2 linked regions of the Arabidopsis thaliana genome follow. The protein of the gene in region 1 purifies or fractionates together with the protein of each later gene. This does not show direct contact. Each region holds a gene or a part of one and is shown on either strand. Other genes may lie near its edges.

Region 1 (3,516 bases):
ATTTCTTGTCTTCAAAAGCATTCAACTCAATGTTTGTTCCTCCGAAGCTAGCTGCCTCGTAGATTCCATGAAGTTGGTGAGTGGAGTAGTTGTAAAGAAACAGAGGAAGTCCTGGAGTTATCGCTCTAACCGAGTCCCTGTATCTTGGTGGCAATCCTAAACAATTTCCATCCCCACAAATCAAAACCAAGAAGAAACAATCGAAACAGTAAGAAGAAAGATGTGGTGATGAATACCGAAAAGCTGGCGTTTGAGATTCTCTTCCATGGTATCGTTGTTGCAGACAAAGATGTAACCACCAATGGTTTCGTTTCTTGGCAAAGCTTCTGCTGGAGGAAGAGTCTTAAACCTCTTGTCCAAACCATTGTTCTTGTCGTCTTCGTTCCTCTGGTTATTATTGTTCTGCTGATTCTTTCTGTTCTTCTTCCCACCTTTCTGAATCTGATGATCTTCATCGATTCCTTTGTTCTTGTTGTTGTTCTTTAGATTGACGTTGTACCCATACTTCTTCATCGACGTGTAAACCCCTTTGTTGAAATCTCCGTTAACGGCGCTTGACGGTGAGTAACCGTTAACGTTAACGTTGACTGAGTTGAATTTCCACGTGTCGTTGAACGGTGAGTTGAATTTGTCGATTGGGTTTAAATCGACGGTGGATTTTGAACCCACAGGTCCGAATCCTAAACCCATGTCGTTGTTTGAACCAGAAGACTTCCAGTTCCAGTTGGAATTGATGTTGTCGGAAGTTGTCTTCTTCTGATAATAGTCGATCTGGTTGTTGTTCTTGTCGGTGGTGGCGGCTATGTCTAAGTTTCGACGCTCTTTGAAGACAGAGTTTGTGCTCCAGATCGAGTCGTTGAGAGACAGATTCGCTAGATTCGGTGTCTGAACTCTCAGCTGGTCGCTGAACTGCCAAAAAGATTGCTGATTGTTGTTATTATACTCCATCTCTAACTCTCTGATTGATCTGGAAAAATCTGATTTTTCGATCTGGGTTTATCGAAAGTTGAAATCTTTTTTGCGATTTTTGGTGAGAATTGGGGTTGGTTTTAAGTGGAGAGAAATTGGTGAAAAATGGGTGAGAAATATAAAGAAAGATGAAGAAAAAGTTGTAAGCTTTTAATTGGAGCAACTGTGTCATCTAAGTAGAAATTTCCACGAAAGTCACAATACCATTCTATTTTATTTTTTCAAGGTTGCGTGTGAATCTGACAAAGTTGGATGATTAAGTGAAAAGTAATTTATTAAATAAGGAATACTAATAAATACAAGACACAAGTACTTCTGTATTTATAAAATTACACACCAATTAATTATGTCAAATTTACCATTTAGTACTTCTGTCTGAGCTTTTTTTTTTGTATAAAAATTTGGTTAAGAAGAAAATTGCGATTTGCGAGTGAATGAGCATGTAGCAGCAGAGACGCGGAACAATTGCAATTATGACGTGGCAGACTTTTGAGAGGAGATTTATTTGTGCCGATAGTAACAAATATCTAATTTTAAAATATTGTTTTTTTCAAAACTAATTAATTTTATGTTTTGAAAATTTGGGTTGATTTGTCTTAGAGGCTAAGGATTGTGGACCAAACACCAAAAACGCGTTGACGAGAAAGACAGTGAGTGTGTCAGCATCAAGTTTTCGACTCTGTATAACACGTATTAAAATTCCCCGGAAGCTTCTATTGGGTTACATTCCCCACTTTAAGCCCATTCAATTACTGATTCAACAGGCCCATGTACGGCCCAATTAGAAAAGGCAATCTTATTCTTCAATTCTTCTTCTTCCTGAAGCCAGTTTGACAGAGAAAAATTCATAGAGAAAGAGATGGATCCGCAACTAATGGAGGTTTCACAGCAGTTCGAGAGGTTTAAAGCTGCGTTTATAATAAAAGATTTCGATACCTGTTCCAGTCTCTTGTCTCAGCTTAAGGTACTGTTTCCTTTTAGCCCTAATTCAATGCGGATCAATAGATAAAACCTTGAATATATCAATGTCAAAGTTTAATATAGATTTGATTTATTAATGAGTAGAGAGCCTAAGTTGAACCAATTGATTTAGAGTTGTTTGATCATTATCTTATATCACTCTCACTGAATGCATTGCTTTTGCTTACGTGTGCTCTGTTTTTTCTATGTACCAGGAATCGTATTCCGCCATCTCCGCAAGAGAATCTAATCATGGGGTTGAACCTACTGAGACTGCTTGTTCAGAACAGAATAGCTGAATTCCACACAGAACTGGGATTACTTTCATCTGCAACCTTGGAGAATCCTTGCATCAAGCATGCGGTGGAGCTCGAGCAATCCTTCATGGAAGGTGCTTATAACCGTGTGTTGAGTGCTAGACAAACCGCACCTGATGAGACTTACGTCTATTTCATGGATCTCTTGGCAAAAACCATTAGGTAAATAGGCTTCATTTGTCATTTGACCCTTTCTCTTCTTTAGCTCATTGCCGTGACTTAAAACATCATTGTTTATCTGTAGAGATGAAATAGCTGGATGCAGTGAGAAAGCATACGATCATCTCTCAATCAGTGAAGGTTGTAAGATGTTACTCTTCTCGTCTGATCAACAACTGTTAACATATGTGAACGAGGAGCACCCGGAGTGGGAAGTTAAAGACGGGTTAGTTGTCTTCCAAAAAACCAGAGAAACCGCACCGTGCAAGGAGATACCGTCACTTCAACTCATCAACCAGACTCTCAGTTACACCAGAGAGCTCGAGCGTATCTTGTAAATCCCATTCAAGTGTTACCATTGTTTGACTTACACGCCTCAGTCATCACTAGTATTTTCCCAAACAGTTGATTTGATTCATCAGATAATTTAGCTCTGTCCTTTCTTTCTTTTGTCGTCTGGTTATAATGCAACTTATATGTTATGGTCACATGAATGATTTCTGGCTCATAAAGGCAACTCCATTAAATGAGTCCGTGATTGAATTTTGATTCTTGTGTCCCACTGCTTGTAAATATATTATGTGTATTATTTTTTTTATTCAAGAAAGAGGGACAAGAATATCAAAATTGTTGAGAAGTTGTTTTCTCTTTAATTAACAAAATGTTAAATAATTCTTCTTCTCTACTTTCTGCTCCATTAATTTTCCAACTACAAATCTTTCTTCCGATTTTTTCTTGACTTGTGTATTTAATAATTGATGGAATCATTAATAACTTATAAATTAATTTCTTAAAAAGCATTTTGATAATTGAAAAGTGTGCTCTAAATACAATATTCCGGGTCATTATGTTTTGATTTGTCGACTGCTTTTTTCAATTTTTAAATCCTCGTAATAAATTTAATATATTATTTTTCAGTCTTTAATGAAATGTAATTTGGTATTATTAGTTACTAACATTTAAAAGAAAATAATTGGCTTGTAAAGAACGTATGGAATGTGTCGAGTATGTGTGTATAGTGTCTCCACTTGGATCTTTCTTACTTACTCCATTATCTTCTTCTCTCTCTTTCCCTCATCTCATTAATGGCGAGCTCTACATCTTTAGCGAT
Region 2 (4,763 bases), on another chromosome or scaffold:
CCGATGATTGATTGAATCTGAGTTTAATTAAGATTTTTTTTTAAGTCAATTATATATAGACGCAAGGTGAAGATAAAATAATAGCCAATAAGAGTGGCAATCTCATTAACAAGTTTGGTTGTCTTTTTCGTGGGGTTTGGTTAGTTCTTCTAATGGTTTCGTTTTTCTTCTTACGTTTGATTTTTGATGAACGTCAATGTGAAATCGTTGAATATATCTACACATATACATGTGTATGTCTAGTCAGGTGTATTTTTATTACATAAATTTTTATAAAACTATTATTGGGATTTCTTACTCCGTTAATGTTTAAAAAATATTACTAAGAAAACTACTTAGATTCTGTAACACTTATATTTGAGAAACAAAATGAGTTTTATAACCCGATTCTTTGACAAAATAATATGAGACAAAAACAAATAATTCCCCAACTGAAATAGTTTATAGACTTAAGACATTTTACCTTCCTTCTGACCTAAAAAGGTAAAAAAGACATTTGACCTTCCATCGAAACAATTAATCTGTCATTACATTAATTTCAAAAACTTGCGTGCTATTAGTTGCACTTGCATTCAACCAATTTTTTCGTTATGTTGAGATAATATTAATATTAGAGTAAAAGAAAAACTAAACATCGAGCAAATTAGTTGTTACAGTGCTTATCTGCCGTCCAATGACGAATTAACTCCTACTTAATTAAACCGTGGCACGTGTCGATATATCAAGCGTCATGATAAGCTTTTAGGAGCATTTTTAATTGCAAAATGACAATAATTGGTGTTATATTATTGCTATGATTTAGACAAGAGACTAATTGTAGGCTAAACATGGAGACATCGTCGTACAGTTTCTCGGGAAAAAAGCTGTCTCTTCTTAACCACAATAAGGTACGTTCGAGTCAGAGGCTCCGAGCAATGATATTTATTTCGCTGGTTTGATTACTAAAGAAATGCAAAACAATACTATAATAACAACGAATATTCCTCCACCAAATTAATTAAACTCTTGCGAATCTTTATTTTGTTTTGTTAAAAGAATAATACAACAGATTTATACAAGTTTCTGAGTCATCAGCAACTTTGGAATCCTTATAATAGTTTATGAACATTTTTAACCAAAAATACATATAAATGGTGGAACCATAGATTAGAAGGGTTGGTCACAAAATGTTGGAGCAAAACTTCCAAAATCGCTTTTAACAATTTTTAAAAAGACTTCCAAAATCCATTTTTTTCTGTCGGTTAAACCAAATTTAAATTATAATTTCGATAGAGAATGTTTAGATCGATCACCCGAGTCGATAGTATATAAATTGTAGTACATTGAATGAAAAACTATAATCAAATATTTTGTGGTCTCTGTTTCAGGAGGTTGGGAGGTTAAATACGTCACCAAAGTTTTTATTAATTTTCTAGATCGTCGTCCACTTATATCATCGCGGAGTGGTGGCCTAACTTATCAATATCGTACGATCTCCAAATTTAATATAAGCAAGTTTGATTATAAAATTTGATACAGAAATTATTTAACATTATCTTCATCATCACTTATTTTATAATTAACAAATACTAGAAACATACGTCTACGAGTTAAAGTAATGGGTTTAGGCTAAAAGATTTGGTCAAGAAGTATACAGTAGCCTAATTGAAGGTCCGTTTAATGGCGTATGCTTCTCATATTAGACTTAAGTTAAGGCCCGTTTGATAAGATATTTAGGCCCATTAACAGCCCAAGTGTTAATCAAAGTCTAACTTGTTACTCAAGAGTGCTTGTCTACGGGAGCTAAAAAGGAACTGGGAAGAGTTTGTTTCTTCGATTCGTAGATCAATTCTCAGCTGGTAAAGTTTTTTTGCATCCATACAAGTTCTTAGTTACTTGAATCGTTTCCTATTTTTTTCATTCGATCTGTAATGTTTTTAGGGTTTAATAACTTTTGTGCAGACATTGAGGTTTATCTCAGATCGAAATCGAGAAGAAGATGTTTCTCACTAGGTACAAAATTGAGCATTTCTTCCTTCGATTTCTTCAGAATCGTGTATCACCGTTTCTGGGAAAACTTCGAATCCAACGATTATGGTGCTTGTATTGATCAAGTTTTTTTTTTTTTTTTTTTTTGTTCTTAAGGACTGAGTATGACAGAGGAGTCAATACATTTTCTCCTGAAGGTCGTCTCTTTCAGGTTGAGTATGCCATTGAAGCTATCAAGGTAATTTATAGATTACTCTAGCTGCTAATAGCTTCTCTAGAATCTAGTAAAGTTGGGATGTTTCTTTGTTTGCTTAAACGAATTTGGTTACTTAATCCATTATTGTGTTAGTGTGCTTTGTTGGGGAGTAGACAATAGATTGGGCATGCCCTTTTTGTATCCATTGATGGGTTTGTTATGGTTTGATTGCAGCTTGGTTCTACTGCTATTGGTGTAAAGACGAAAGAGGGAGTTGTTCTTGCAGTCGAGAAGCGTATTACTTCGCCTTTACTGGTATAGTTTCTCTCCTTGTATCTTCTCCGTGTGACTCCACTGTTTTATTAACATTTGTTATGTTTAGCAGTTTCCATCTGGTTGATTTGTTAGTATCTAAGAAGTTTTCTTTGCTTTACTATTTCCGTGCCTTTATGATTTTGGTACACGCACATTATGCTACAAATTTAGTCTTGAATTGGCATGAGTGATAGAATCTGAAAGGTAATATTAGTATGAATTTGTAATACCTTTTTGAGTTTACCCTATGATGGTAACTACTTTCTCAGTCTCTTTTTTATCTTTTAAGTAGGAGCCGAGTAGTGTTGAGAAGATTATGGAAATTGATGACCATATAGGTTGTGCTATGAGTGGTCTGATTGCTGACGCGCGAACACTTGTTGAGCATGCACGAGTAGAGACCCAGGTGAGATCTCAGTTTCTGACTTTCTGTTTCTCATGGATTTGTTTTTACATCAAAAGTTCTTTCTGTTACCAACTGGTTTTATTATGTTGAGCAGAACCACAGGTTCTCGTATGGTGAGCCAATGACTGTAGAATCTACAACACAAGCTTTGTGTGATCTTGCTTTACGGTTTGGTGAAGGAGAGGAAGAGTCAATGGTAGTAATCGCTCTATTACCTTTATAGCATAGGAAGAGTCAATGGTAGTAATCGCTCTATTACCTTTATAGCATAGGCAATGTTTAGTGGATTTCTCTTCTTTCTGCTTGGAAATTATGATCAATTATCAGAGATAAACCCTTAGATTGGGGTTTTAAATTTTTGTTGTGAATTAATAGATATAACTCTTTAGGAACCACCACTATAACAATCCCTAATCTTCCATAATGTTTTAGCAAATATTCTTTGGTTCTTTACTGTCTCCTTTTTATATGAATGTACTTATGCTCGGTCTCACAAACTTTTTGCAGTCTCGTCCATTTGGAGTATCCCTTCTCATTGCTGGGCATGATGAAAATGGACCGAGCCTGTAAGTTGTTATTCATTTCGCTTATATCATTTTCCAACTGTGTAGATGATCTCAAATTGGTAAACAACAAATGTTAAACAACTCAATCCTGTATAGGTACTACACAGATCCATCGGGAACATTCTGGCAATGCAATGCAAAGGCAATTGGGTCTGGCTCAGAAGGAGCTGATAGTTCTCTCCAAGAGCAATTCAACAAGGTACTAATAACGTGATTGTTTCACTGTCCCAAGCGCATTACAGAATCTATTTCTTTTGAAGTTTCCTTGAACTCCAATTTCACAACTCTTACAGGATATAACTCTTCAAGAAGCTGAAACAATAGCTGTATCTATCCTAAAGCAAGTAATGGAAGAAAAGGTATTCAATTGATTACAAGTTTGTTTATTAAAAATCCCATTAAATCCCTCTCCGGTTTAGCCCTTTTTGATACTCTCTACTTTTCTGGTTTAGGTGACTCCAAACAATGTCGACATTGCCAAAGTCGCACCAGCTTATCACCTCTACACTCCTCAGGAGGTTGAAGCCGTCATCAGTCGTCTATGAAGAAATAAACCGCCATTCTCTTCCTGTTATCTTACCTTGTCTGTTCGGTAATTTATCAGGCTTCTGTCTGCTTCCGGTTCTCTAAACCAAAAATTAGTTTCGTTTAATCAGATAATGGATTTTATCGAGTTGAGTTTTATTGAGCTTTCTATCTACATTTTTTTGTCGTTTTCAACAAGAAGTTAAAACTAATAAATATCTGTCCAAAAGAAAAAATCAGAACTTGAAAGTTGAAATCTATTATGTACATATCATCATTGTACGTCGGAAAAAAAATCTCAATTATAAGATAATTATATATTTATTATCTATATAACCACCCTCACTGAATTTAACCCAAACCCCATTAAGAGAAGCGCTGATCGTGAAAACCTATCTTTAGCTAAATCTTTAAAAAAATAAAATATATTTCTTTGAGGTTACAAAAGAATATATTGTATTTTTTAAACATATCTTTAGCTAAATCTATAGAAAAAATAATAATAATTGAAAACTTAAGAAAACAAATAATAAGTGATTAAGTTTACAGAGGGGGCATTCCCATAACCGCCTTTGGAATCCAATTATCATCCCCTCGGAGAAAATACTTAACCGTAAACCTTGCAGCCTCATCATCAGACGAAATGGGCTTATACCCAGCCCATTTAACTCTCTTGGATAGATCCGACCCAGGACCTGAATTCTTGTACTCTCTATAGAATATAGTACGTGGAGGCGGGTCATAAGTCGAATTCCACGCAATCCACCCAGCGGGATTCACGAACGAC

The links.
Region 2: the proteins of RPN12b (region 1) and PAE2 fractionate together in Arabidopsis thaliana (co-fractionation; one large-scale study listed by BioGRID). This does not show direct contact.

What each region holds. Positions count from the first base shown.
Region 1 is NC_003076.8:16,813,062-16,816,577, reverse strand, and holds RPN12b (regulatory particle non-ATPase 12B), read left to right. Parts: upstream 1-1,828; coding exon 1,829-1,933; intron 1,934-2,064; coding exon 2,065-2,408; intron 2,409-2,490; coding exon 2,491-2,743; 3' UTR 2,744-3,013; downstream 3,014-3,516. Other genes in the region: AT5G42050 (DCD (Development and Cell Death) domain protein), read right to left, coding at 1-156, 237-948; ABIL4 (ABL interactor-like protein 4), read left to right, coding at 3,491-3,516. UniProt on the Arabidopsis thaliana protein: Acts as a regulatory subunit of the 26S proteasome which is involved in the ATP-dependent degradation of ubiquitinated proteins.
Region 2 is NC_003074.8:4,762,386-4,767,148, forward strand, and holds PAE2 (20S proteasome alpha subunit E2), read left to right. Parts: upstream 1-1,638; 5' UTR 1,639-1,838; intron 1,839-1,941; 5' UTR 1,942-1,978; coding exon 1,979-1,992; intron 1,993-2,124; coding exon 2,125-2,206; intron 2,207-2,398; coding exon 2,399-2,479; intron 2,480-2,771; coding exon 2,772-2,885; intron 2,886-2,979; coding exon 2,980-3,081; intron 3,082-3,392; coding exon 3,393-3,451; intron 3,452-3,547; coding exon 3,548-3,650; intron 3,651-3,744; coding exon 3,745-3,810; intron 3,811-3,903; coding exon 3,904-3,996; 3' UTR 3,997-4,224; downstream 4,225-4,763. Other genes in the region: ATPMEPCRC (pectinesterase family protein), read right to left, coding at 4,520-4,763. UniProt on the Arabidopsis thaliana protein: The proteasome is a multicatalytic proteinase complex which is characterized by its ability to cleave peptides with Arg, Phe, Tyr, Leu, and Glu adjacent to the leaving group at neutral or slightly basic pH.